3 linked regions of the Neurospora crassa OR74A genome follow. The protein of the gene in region 1 purifies or fractionates together with the protein of each later gene. This does not show direct contact. Links are inferred from orthologs where the notes say so. Each region holds a gene or a part of one and is shown in the gene's direction. Other genes may lie near its edges. The genes, in order: NCU02511, NCU06520 and NCU07712.

What was found.
Region 2: the proteins of NCU02511 (region 1) and NCU06520 purify together in Saccharomyces cerevisiae (affinity purification with mass spectrometry; 3 studies listed by BioGRID, with this or other methods). This does not show direct contact. The link is inferred for Neurospora crassa OR74A from reciprocal best matches to the Saccharomyces cerevisiae genes NOP2 and DBP7.
Region 3: the proteins of NCU02511 (region 1) and NCU07712 purify together in Saccharomyces cerevisiae (affinity purification with mass spectrometry; 7 studies listed by BioGRID). This does not show direct contact. The link is inferred for Neurospora crassa OR74A from reciprocal best matches to the Saccharomyces cerevisiae genes NOP2 and DBP10.

Annotation. Positions count from the first base shown.
Region 1 is NC_026501.1:2,564,212-2,567,959, forward strand, and holds the start of NCU02511 (S-adenosylmethionine-dependent methyltransferase superfamily domain-containing protein), read left to right. Parts: upstream 1-1,473; 5' UTR 1,474-1,887; coding exon 1,888-2,779; intron 2,780-2,849; coding exon 2,850-2,886; intron 2,887-2,959; coding exon 2,960-3,148; intron 3,149-3,217; coding exon 3,218-3,733; intron 3,734-3,748. Other genes in the region: NCU02510 (clathrin heavy chain), read right to left, coding at 1-487, 578-667. UniProt on the Saccharomyces cerevisiae protein: S-adenosyl-L-methionine-dependent methyltransferase that specifically methylates the C(5) position of cytosine 2870 (m5C2870) in 25S rRNA. Required for 60S ribosomal subunit synthesis and processing.
Region 2 is NC_026504.1:1,508,875-1,512,622, forward strand, and holds the start of NCU06520 (ATP-dependent RNA helicase dbp-7), read left to right. Parts: upstream 1-1,456; 5' UTR 1,457-1,553; coding exon 1,554-3,748. Other genes in the region: NCU06519 (multidrug transporter), read left to right, coding at 1-404, 464-793. UniProt on the Saccharomyces cerevisiae protein: ATP-binding RNA helicase involved in the biogenesis of 60S ribosomal subunits and is required for the normal formation of 25S and 5.8S rRNAs.
Region 3 is NC_026504.1:2,109,872-2,113,619, forward strand, and holds the start of NCU07712 (ATP-dependent RNA helicase dbp-10), read left to right. Parts: upstream 1-1,323; 5' UTR 1,324-1,437; coding exon 1,438-1,750; intron 1,751-1,816; coding exon 1,817-3,748. Other genes in the region: NCU07713 (DnaJ domain-containing protein), read right to left, coding at 231-806, 890-1,003. UniProt on the Saccharomyces cerevisiae protein: ATP-binding RNA helicase involved in the biogenesis of 60S ribosomal subunits and is required for the normal formation of 25S and 5.8S rRNAs.

The DNA of each region.
Region 1 (3,748 bases):
GGTCTTTGGAATAGAGCTGCATGGCGCCAACAACGCGGCCCTGCTGTTGTGAGATACCGACAACAACCATCCACTTTCCGTCGGCGCTGGTCCGATAATTAATTATTTGGTTGCCCTGGAGATTAGCATTACGATCGAAGACCTTGACCGGAGCGGGCTGGTTCGGGTCGAAGACATCCCAATGGTAAACAGAGCCATCTGTGATCAAGCCAAGCGTGGTCTCGCTAACCCACTTCCAGAACAAGACATCCTCGCTCATGTTTGTCGACTTGAGCTTGGCCTTGTTTTCGAGGTCGAAAATCTGGAGTGTGCGCGCCTGGGCCTTGAGGGCAATTACTTGGCGCGTCCAGTGCATTATGGCACTGTCGGCCTTGATGGGACGTCGGATAACATTATTGCCGTTCTTGAGATCGACGATGATGACTTCAGGGGACGCTGCCTCGTCCTTCTTGTCGCGAATACACACCCAGTTGTCCGATTCTAGAGTCTGGGAGCGGGGGGTTCACGTCAGCAGGGGTGCCAGAGGAGGCGCGACAACTGTCACTAGCAGAGTCAGAGCAAGGTGAGGACAACGTACACAGGTATTGAAAGTGATGGCAGTCTGGTTGATGCCGAGGGCGCTGAGTTGCAGCAGCTCCTGGAATTTGATGGGTAGGGCCTGAGCCATGATGGGCGGTGGTGTTGCGCTAAGCTGCGCGCAGAGTGACGAAGATTAGCAGCCAACTTATCAAAAGCGGCTGGAAGGTGAATCCGCTGGGAAGTAGAAAGATTGGGGAAATGGAGGCTCGTGAAGCTCCGTGGACTGAATGGAATGGCGGCGACGTGAAAGGAGGCGGTGGTGGTGGTGGTTGGTTGTACTTTGGGGGGAAAATGACCGAGCTCCCGAGAAATGGGGAGGGGGAAAGAGGACGGATGAATCAGGTAGGTAGAGGTAGGTAGGAGGTTGGAGGTGGAAGGATTAACGCAAGGTCCAGAAGGCAGGTACGCAGTAAAACCCGCCGCCAAACTGTGGGTGAGAGGTGAGTCGCGATTTGCCGCTCAGTTACAGATACGTAAAGTAAAGGCGAGCAGGTACCTCGATGTCACCTCACTTCAATGCTCCAGCAGAAAGAATAGAGAAGAATCGCGGTTGTTGAAGGATGCAAAGCAGCAAGAGGAGACGTCGTTTGTTACGGGAAGTTAGTACCGTGAGAGATGAAAGATACAGCAGGAAAGATGGAAGGTGCTGAGGTGAGATGCCTCTCCAGCTGTCCAGTGTGTTTGTACATGCCGCAACTGTTCAGCGCAGACGGAAGGTACCTCTAGTACCTCTCAGGTTACCTGCCTGCTTTTGAGTGATGTGTTAACACGGGACCTCGCGGCCGGGGCGTCCACCGCCCACCGGCGCCGGCTCCATTCAGTGCTTCCCCCTGCGTCGGGTGCGCCTAGACCAGGCGGCAGGCGCCTGCCCGGGAGGCCTGCCTGCCCCCTTCGCTTCAAGCTGTCCGCCCGGTCCAGGTTGCCCGCCCTCATCCCGTCATCCTTCTACTTTCCTTTGCCCGCATTGATCGCCTCTCCTGCGAGGTCCGTCAGACGGTCCTTCCATTTCCTACCTCTAGGTACCTTATACCTCCAGGCCGCCTGCCTCCGGGGGCGCCGTTCATGCCGGGCTCCAGGGGCAGCTGTTCCCTACTCCAGAACAGCCCAGCTCCAGGGGTAGCGTCAGCTGTTGCTACAGGGATTCCGAACTTGGCCCAGCTTGACTAATGTGGGGCACTGACCAATGGCTCACCTTTTGGGACCGCAGTGAGGTGGAACCCGATTTGAGGAAAGAGACTTGGCATTGCTATCGATAAGCTTTTTCAGAAAAGAAAATCGACCCGGAGAAATATCCACAAGCGCCTGTCGATGGTGGGCTATCAGTGTTCAAACCAACCCCAACAACATCCCAATCACCACCAGACGACCAGCAATACCATCAAAATGGGTGTCGGACGTCGCATGCAGAAACAGGGCCCTCCTGAGCCCCTCTCGGAGGAGCACTTCGCCAACCTCAAGCGCAAGAAGGGCATTCCCTTTGACGAAACCACGACCGAAGTCGACACTAGAAGATCCAAGAAGCAGAAGATTGTCAAGAAGCAGCCCAAGACATCCGGCTCCAACACTGTCGCAGTCAAGGGCGCCAAGAAAGAGGTCAAGGAGGTGAAGAAGACTGGCACAAAGCCCGCCCACAGGTCCAAGGAGTCCAAGAAGCCTAAGAAGGCAAAGCAGCCTTCGCCCGATCATGACGAGGAGATGGACGACGAGTTTGGCGCGTCCGACCTGGAGGGCCTTGATATCGACGGCGATGAGATGGACGTTCAAAAGCTAGGAGACGATTTCCTCGGCACTGACGACGACTCGGTTTACGATTCCGACCAGGACGGTGCTACCAAGAAGGAGGCATTCGTCTTCTCTGACGATGAGGATGACGAAGAGGATAGAGAGGAGAAGCTCACAGCCGCCAACATCGAGGGTCTTTCGAGGAAATTGGATATGCAAAGAGAGAAGGAAGCAGAGGAGAACGAGGCCGAATTGCGCGACGAGGCGCTCCAGACCAACATCGCTGGTGGTGATGACCTCGGTGATGACGACGACCAACTTCAGACTAAGACCAAAACTTTGCTGGCACCCGATCTCCAGATGTTGAGAACGAGGATAACAGACGCCATCCGTATCCTGGACGACTTTTCGAATTCGGCGGAAGAGGGCAAGAGTCGCGCCGAGTACACCAGCCAACTCATCAAGGATATCTGTGCCTGTAAGGACCCGATGTTCCTTGCGCAATACTTCTCGTGAAATGCACAAATGTTAACTTCAGGTTTTGCCAGACTACGGTTACAACGAGTACCTCGCTGAAAAGCTTTTGTATGTTTTACAACCTGTCGCATGCCTGTCTGCGGCGATACCACCAGTGGGGAAACTGTCTGACTGTTTGTAGCAACCTGTTCCCTCCCAGAGAGGCGTTCGCCTTTTTCGAAGCCAACGAGAGTGCCCGCCCCGTCGTTATCCGTACAAACACCCTCCGAACACATCGCCGCGATCTTGCCCAAGCACTCATCAACCGCGGTGTCACACTCGAGCCTGTAGGCAAGTGGTCCAAGGTCGGTCTGCAAGTCTTTGACTCGAAGTACGTATATTCTAAATCAGGACTACAACGACGCGATTCATGCAAATGGCTAACAACTGGGGCATAAAGCGTTCCCCTCGGTGCCACGCCTGAGTATCTGGCTGGTCACTACATCCTCCAGGCCGCGTCTTCGTTCCTGCCCGTGATGGCTCTCTGCCCCCAGGAGGGTGAGCGTGTTCTCGATATGGCCTCTGCCCCCGGTGGCAAGACCACCCATATGGCGGCGTTGATGAAGAACACCGGTGTGATCTTTGCGAACGATCCCAGCAAGCAGCGTGCCAAAGGTTTGATCGGCAACATTCACAGACTGGGCGCAAGAAACGTTATCGTATGCAACTACGATGCGCGTGAGTTCCCCAGGGTCATGGGTGGCTTTGACAGAGTCTTGCTCGATGCCCCATGCTCGGGCACTGGTGTCATTGCCAAGGATCCCTCTGTTAAGACCAACAGAGACGAGAAGGACTTCCTGCAGCTCCCCCATCTCCAAAAGCAGCTTCTCCTGGCTGCCATCGACTCGGTTGACCATGCCAGCAAGACTGGTGGTTACGTTGTCTATTCGACGTGTTCCGTTGCCGTTGAGGAAAAGTGCGTTTTCCATAT
Region 2 (3,748 bases), on another chromosome or scaffold:
CGGAGCCGATCGTCCTCACTCTCTCACTACTGTCAGGATTCTCTGATGCCCTCATCTTTATGCAGATCCAGTCCTTTGTTCTGGTCTACAATCAATGGGGATTTTCCAAGATCCAACTTGGCCTTGCTTTCGTCCCAATTGGCTTAGGGTACCTGATCGCCTGGCTGTCCTTCTTACCAGTCTTTAAGCGCAACAAGAGGGCGCGCGATCTGAAACCGCATAGCGAGCATGCGCAGTATGAATCTCGGCTATGGTGGCTTCTCTGGACTGCGCCATGCTTGCCCATAGGTTTGATCATTTTTGCATGGACGTGCAGTGGACCGCCCATACATTGGATTGGGACCATGGTCGGGTCTACCATGATTGGCATTGCAAACTACTCCATCTATATGGCCACCATAGACGTAAGCTTAGGTTCTACCTCATTGACTGACAAAAGACATGCTAACCAAATACTCAACAGTATATGATCTGCGCTTACGGTCCCTACTCAGCTTCTGCTACCGGAGGTAACGGCTGGGCTCGCGACTTCCTTGCTGGTGTTCTAACGGTGCCGGCCACGCCCTTCGTCAGCAACATTGGCGGGACGAGGCACTTGGAAATCGCAAACACCATTCTATTCGCTATATCCCTTCTTCTTGTTGCGGCTATCTACATAACGTATATCTACGGACCAACTCTCCGTAAGAAGTCCAAATACGCGCAAAAGCTGGCCAAAAATACCACCCTAGATGAGTTCGGACGCTCGCGGCCTCCTTCCCAAATCTCCGATCGGGACCAGCTCTGTCTCTGACGAGATACATAGAGATCTTGTAGAAGACTCCTTCTGATTTCGAGTGTGACACGCGTATCTTTTAACTATACGGGGTATGTTCTTGGCTTGACCTTCGTCATTGACTCAATGCGTTCTGAACGTCGAGACCAGGGATTCGCCTGTGATGGGACGACTCTGGATTCTTACCAAAGCCGCTTACTGAACCTTCTGGTGGGAAATTCTCGGACTCTGGAAAATTGGGTGCTATTACAGGACGATGAAATATCTTAGCAAGGATATGTTACCACATGCGTACATGTTTTGCGAATATTTCGAGCAGCAATTCCTGACAACGTTGGCAGTTCACGGTGGCTTTTTGTCGAATTACCAGTACCCATGTATTATTAGCAACATTTGATAAGCAGCTATCACGAGCCTTGTAGCCATATCGACATGATCATTTCCAAGACACATGCAATGGTGGTGTTTTGTGTTTTATGTTGAAGGCGCATGGTGATTGTTATGATACAGATACAGTGCGAGTCGACACGGCTCACTTACACAGCAGGCGAGAGCCCCACTTTGATCTGGCCAAGGACCCAATTCCACTTTCAGTGCAACGGCCCCGAGTGCCAGTCCACTGAGAGCCACTGTGTTGCGGGGATCGACATGGACGTTGAACTTTTTTCTTGCCAATACCCAGAATATTGTCTTCCAGTCCCTTGAAACTCCCCATTTCCAATTGATTTTTGCCAGCACCACCACACCTCGAGGTCTTTTTGCAGTGAAATCATTCAAAATGGCGGACGACGGTGACATGTTCCTCAACTTTGAGATCGGAGATGCTCCGATCAAGCAGACGGTCAAGTACACAGGTGGCCGGTGGAGGGACAGAGTCAAGGCGCAAAAGGGCGAGAAGGGTGGACAGGATCAGTCAAAACAGGCCTCGACAGCTCGACGAGATACCGGCGCCGACTACTACACGAACAGAGCCGCGAAACGTCAACGGACAGAAGATGGCGACTCTGGCAGATTCTCCAAGACCCCACGAACAGGCAATGCCGCCGAGAGAGGTCCGCCGCCGCCGCCGACACATGCCATGAAGACTGGCCTCGTATCGTCGCGACTGTTTACTTCGAATCCCGTTCCCGTAACCGACTTCGAGGAGCTTCCCCAAGCCGAAGAAGCCGAGCCTGCACAACCTTCGAACGCTCCCCTCAGTGCCGAAGCAGAGAACTTCCTCTCGTTGGGTCTCTCCCGACGTGTATCCCAGCACCTGGCGACGAAGCTCGAGATGAAGGCCCCGACCGCCATCCAGAAGAACACGATACCACAACTAGTCAAGGAGGATAGCGATGCCTTCCTCCAAGCCGAGACGGGTTCCGGAAAGACGCTAGCATACCTTCTCCCCATTGTCCACAGGATATTGGCCCTCAGTCACAACGAGGACGGTACCCCAAAGACCACCAAAGTGCACCGCAACTCGGGACTCTTTGCTATCATTCTTGCTCCTACCCGCGAACTCTGCAAGCAAATTGCCGTTGTCCTCGAAAAGGTGCTGCGCTGTGCTCCTTGGCTAGTCTGCACCACGGTAATAGGTGGTGAAAGCAAAAAGTCAGAGAAGGCGCGCATCAGAAAGGGTGTCAACATCCTAATCGCTACTCCCGGTCGCTTGACAGATCATCTCGACAACACAAAGGTTCTCGACGTTGGTACGGTCCGCTGGTTGGTACTCGATGAAGGTGATCGCATGATGGAAATGGGTTTCGAGGACGATATCAAGACTATTGTTGGCAAGATCAGGGCTGGTACACTACAGAAGAAGAACGCCGAGGGTGTGGTTTTGGACGGCGTTCTCCCTTCGAGGAGAGTCACGGTTCTTTGCTCGGCTACAATGAAAATGAACGTCCAGAAGCTGGGTGAGATCAGTTTGGAGGATGCTGTCCACATCACAGCGTCCAAGAGCGATATGGAGAAGGATGCGGAGACTGGTGCTGTTGAGACGGCATTCTCCGCGCCCGCCCAGCTAAAGCAGGCCGCTATCGTCACACCCGCCAAGTTGCGCCTGGTGACGCTTATTGCCTTGCTCAAGTCAACTTTTGCCAGGAAGGGCTCGGTCATGAAGGCTATCATCTTCATCTCGTGTGCTGACTCGGTTGACTATCACTTTGAGCTTCTCAAGTCTACCACACCGCGTGCTGAGCCCGAGCCCAAGCCTGAAGGCGAAGCTCCCACCAAGCCGAACATCCACATCGAGTCGACCGTCGCGCCAGCAACATACATTACCTCCCCAGCCAACCCTACGGTGATGCTACACAAGCTCCACGGTTCGCTCGCCCAGCCCGTCCGTAGCGCCACCCTCAAGGCCTTCAGCGAATGCAAGGACCCCGCCGTGCTCATCACCACCGATATCTCCTCCCGTGGTCTCGATGTCCCGGCCGTCGAACTTGTCATCGAGTACGACCCGGCCTTCGCCGTGCCTGACCACGTCCACCGTATCGGTCGTACCGCCCGTGCCGGTCGCGCCGGTAAAGCCGTGCTCTTCCTCCTCCCCGGGTCCGAAGAAGGCTACATTTCCATCCTGCCCAAATCGACCCCCATCGCACCCCAGCTGTACGATTCCATCCTCCAAAAGGGCTTCGCCACAAACATCAACGTGCCTGGCACCGAGTCCGGAGTCCTCGAAACCGATCGTCAATCTTGGGCCTCCCGCGCCGAAGCTCTTCAACTACACTTCGAACAGCGTCTCCTCGCTCCTCTGCCCGGCGCCACGCCCGTCTTTGAATCCAAAAGCGAGAAATTTGCCGCCTCCAAGCAGGGCAAGAAGGGCAAGAAGGACGCCAAGAAGGATGAGAACAAAACACCTGACAACCCTCTCCTCGTCTCCGCCCGCCAAGCCTTCCGCTCGCACATTCGTGCGTACGCCACGCACGTTCGCGAGGAGCGCGTCTACTTTGACATTACCGCGCTGCATCTCGGTCACATGGCCAAGGC
Region 3 (3,748 bases), on another chromosome or scaffold:
GATTCTCTGATGTGTATATGTATAAGCACCTTGTCCCATAAAACAGCGACCAAGTCGCGACCCAAAGCTTTGCGTGTAAACACCCCCATTCCTCTAAACCCAAGAAAAATGGCTTCCTTCGATTCGTTGTAAGCTCCGCTACTGCATCGTTGATGAACACATCTTGCAATTGCCGTAGTTGAATATTGCTGCGCATGCTCATATGAAAGAGCATTGCAGGTTCTTCTTGCTCAGCCAATAGGCTTCAACTTCTTTTTCTTTTTCTTATCCGAATCCCCAGACTTGCCCTTTTGAAACGCGCGCCAACTATCGATGCGCTGGTCTCTCGTCTTTTCCCAGTCCTCTTCGTGCTGCCTCTTGCGCTTGCGCTGCTCAGCCTCCTCGTCAGCTTTCCGCTGCTCGCGGCCTTCCTCCTGCATCTGCGCCTTGAGCTGTCTGCGTCGTCGCTGCTCGTTCTCGATCAGCACAAACTTGGTCTTTTCCTGCCACTTCTTTTCAAACTCGGCCGTCTTGAGCTCAGGGCTGTCGACCGTCCATTTGTTCTCGCGGATCAGCAGCATGCGCGCGTCCGCGATAGCTTCGTCTAGGTTCTTGCGGTGCTTCTCCTCCATTAGCTCCGTTTGCGCCTTCTTCAGTCTATCGAACGCCTCAGGCGCCAAGGGGTTTTTGGTCTTGTCGGGATGGATCAGCAGGGACTTTTTGCGGTAAGCAATCTTGATGTCGGATTCGGTCACGCCGGGCTTGAGGCCGAGGACTGAGTAGGCGTCGAGCCGGAAGGCTTTCAAGATACGGTCGATCTCGGCATCCTGTCGGAATTTAGATTGTCAGCAACTACTGAGTTGGGGATGTAAATGTTGGTATAGTTGGGCGTGGTTGTTGTCTGGCTTGCCTTCTCCCACTCCTTGGCTTCAGATTCCAGCACTTCAAGCGCATCCCGAGTGTCGGCAGGAGTTTCGTCTTTGACGTCTTTAACGTCCTTCACGTCCTTAGTGTCTGTCGCCATATTGTCGCCGGAATGGAGGGTCAATCTGGATGCTTGTTTGATCAATTACAAAGGGTTGATGGATAAGTAAGTTCGGTCTACCAAACGGAACGCAACTCCGGGGAAGTTTAGGGAAGTTCAGTAGTTGCGACTTGCGACACCTCCAGGAGCGCGGAAAGCACAGCTAACGCACGCCAGCGCTGCCAAGGCAAACCCACGGGCATGCAATGGGTGTACTTGATAAGCTGATAATGGATAAATGTCACATTGGCCCCACTAAAAAGTCGACCATCCAAAATTTACGGGTGACGGGCAGGCATTGATGGCTACAGTAGACAAGAGACCCCAAGACCCCATCATCATCACCAACCTAAACTCCAACCCACCCCGTCCGTCTTTGCATCTTCAATTAGCGATTCGTGCTGCAATTGGCAGCAACACAACCCTCGCTCACCATGCCTAGACGCGCAGCGTCCCCCACACCGTCCGAGAACGAGGTTGACATCGCGGGTGCTTTGTTCAACAACGACAGCGACTTCGAAGACAACAGCAGCAAGCACCACACCAAGAAGGGAGCTGTTACGAACAGCGGGCTTGACCTCGATTTCAACGATCTTCTCGGTAACGGCGATGATGGACTACCTAGCTTTAATGGCGAGGGCGATGATGACGAAGCCTTTATCGCTTCGCTCACACGGAGCTCGCAGAGAAAGTCCTCCAACATTCAGGGCAAATCAGTCAAGAAGGGTGGAGGTTTCCAGGCAATGGGTGCGTAGTCTTCCGTCCCATGGCATAAGTTGATGATGCTTGGGGCAGCTGCTGATACTCTCCTAGGTCTAAACGCCCATCTCCTCCGAGCGATTACCAGAAAAGGCTTCTCCGTCCCGACCCCCATTCAGCGCAAAGCGATCCCCCTGATTTTAGAAAGAAAAGATGTGGTCGGCATGGCCAGAACCGGTTCCGGAAAGACTGCAGCTTTCGTTATCCCCATGATTGAGAGGTTGAAGGGGCACAGTCCACGTGTTGGCTCGAGGGCGCTCATCATGTCTCCCTCGCGTGAACTTGCGTTGCAGACCCTCAAGGTCGTCAAGGAACTCGGCAGAGGTACCGATCTAAAGACCGTATTGCTCGTCGGTGGTGACAGCCTAGAAGAACAGTTTGGTATGATGGCGTCGAATCCCGATATTATCATCGCCACACCCGGTCGTTTCCTCCATCTCAAGGTTGAAATGAACCTCTCTTTGGCCTCCATCAAATACGTTGTCTTCGATGAAGCTGATCGCCTCTTCGAAATGGGTTTCGCTACTGAGTTGACCGAAATTCTTCACGCCCTCCCTCCTTCCAGACAGACGCTTCTTTTCTCTGCGACGCTCCCATCGTCCTTGGTCGAATTCGCCAGAGCCGGTCTTCAAGAGCCAAGCCTTGTCAGGTTGGATGCCGAAACCAAGGTGTCACCCGACCTCGAGAGTGCTTTCTTCGCAGTAAAGGGAGGTGAGAAGGAGGGTGCCCTTCTCCATCTTCTCCACGACGTCATCAAGGTCCCGCTGGGTCCGCCCGAGGGCACAAAGGAAGAGAGTGACGAATTGCAGGCGAGGAAAAGGAAACGCGAGTACAGGCCCAATCCTAAGGAGAAGCCGACGGAATACTCGACCATCATCTTCACAGCAACGAAACATCACGTCGAGTACATTGCGAACCTGTTGAAACTCGCAGGCTTTGCCGTGTCCTACGTTTACGGTTCGCTTGACCAGACGGCCCGTTTGATCCAAGTTGACAACTTCCGTCGGGGAAGAACACATATTCTCGTGGTTACCGATGTCGCCGCCCGTGGTATTGATATGCCTGCTCTCGCCAACGTCATCAACTACGATTTCCCATCTCAGCCCAAGATCTTTGTCCATCGTGTTGGTCGTACAGCTCGTGCGGGTCAGCGTGGTTGGGCCTATGGTTTGGTCCGTCAGTCAGACGTACCATATCTACTTGATCTACAGCTCTTCCTGGGAAGGAAACTTATTATCGGCCACGATCAGAAGAACCCTTCCTTCGCGGCAGACGTCGTAGTTGGAACACTAAAGAGAGATGGAGTGGATGTTAACATTGAGTGGGTTGAGAAGGCGCTCAAGGAGAGTGCCGATCTCAAGGCGCTGAAGGGTGTTGCCGCAAAGGCCGAGAAGCTCTACATGAAGACGAGGAATTCTGCGTCGAGCCAGAGCGCAAAGAGAGCCCGCGAAGTTACGCAGTCCAGGGGCTGGACACAGCTCCATCCTTTGTTTGGAGAAGAAGCCGCTGAAGCCCAGGCAGCTCGCGATGATCTTCTCAGCAGGATAAACCGCTTCAAGCCCCAGGAAACCATCTTTGAACTTGGCCCTAAGGGCAAGTCTAGCCGCAATAAGGCCGCGGAAGTTGTACGAAACATGCGTTCCAGATTCAAGGAGCGCAAGACTACCAACGACGAGGATGATGAGGACGTGGACATGGAAGATGCCGAGGGTAAACCTGACGGCGAGGAGACCAATGCGTTCGAAGACTTTGAGGATGAGGAAGAGGAGGGAGAGGCGGAAGAGGCAGAAGAGGCGGAAGCCAAGGAAGACCCATACGCCGACGACTCGGATTCGGAGATGGAGGTTACAGTATCCAGCAGCATGCATACGAAGAAGAAGGGTGGCCCGGTCAACTTCCAAGACCCCGAGATCTTCATGTCCTACACGCCTCGCACCACTAGCCTTGCGGAGGAGAAGGCTTACGGTGTTCACTCGGGCGGCTACA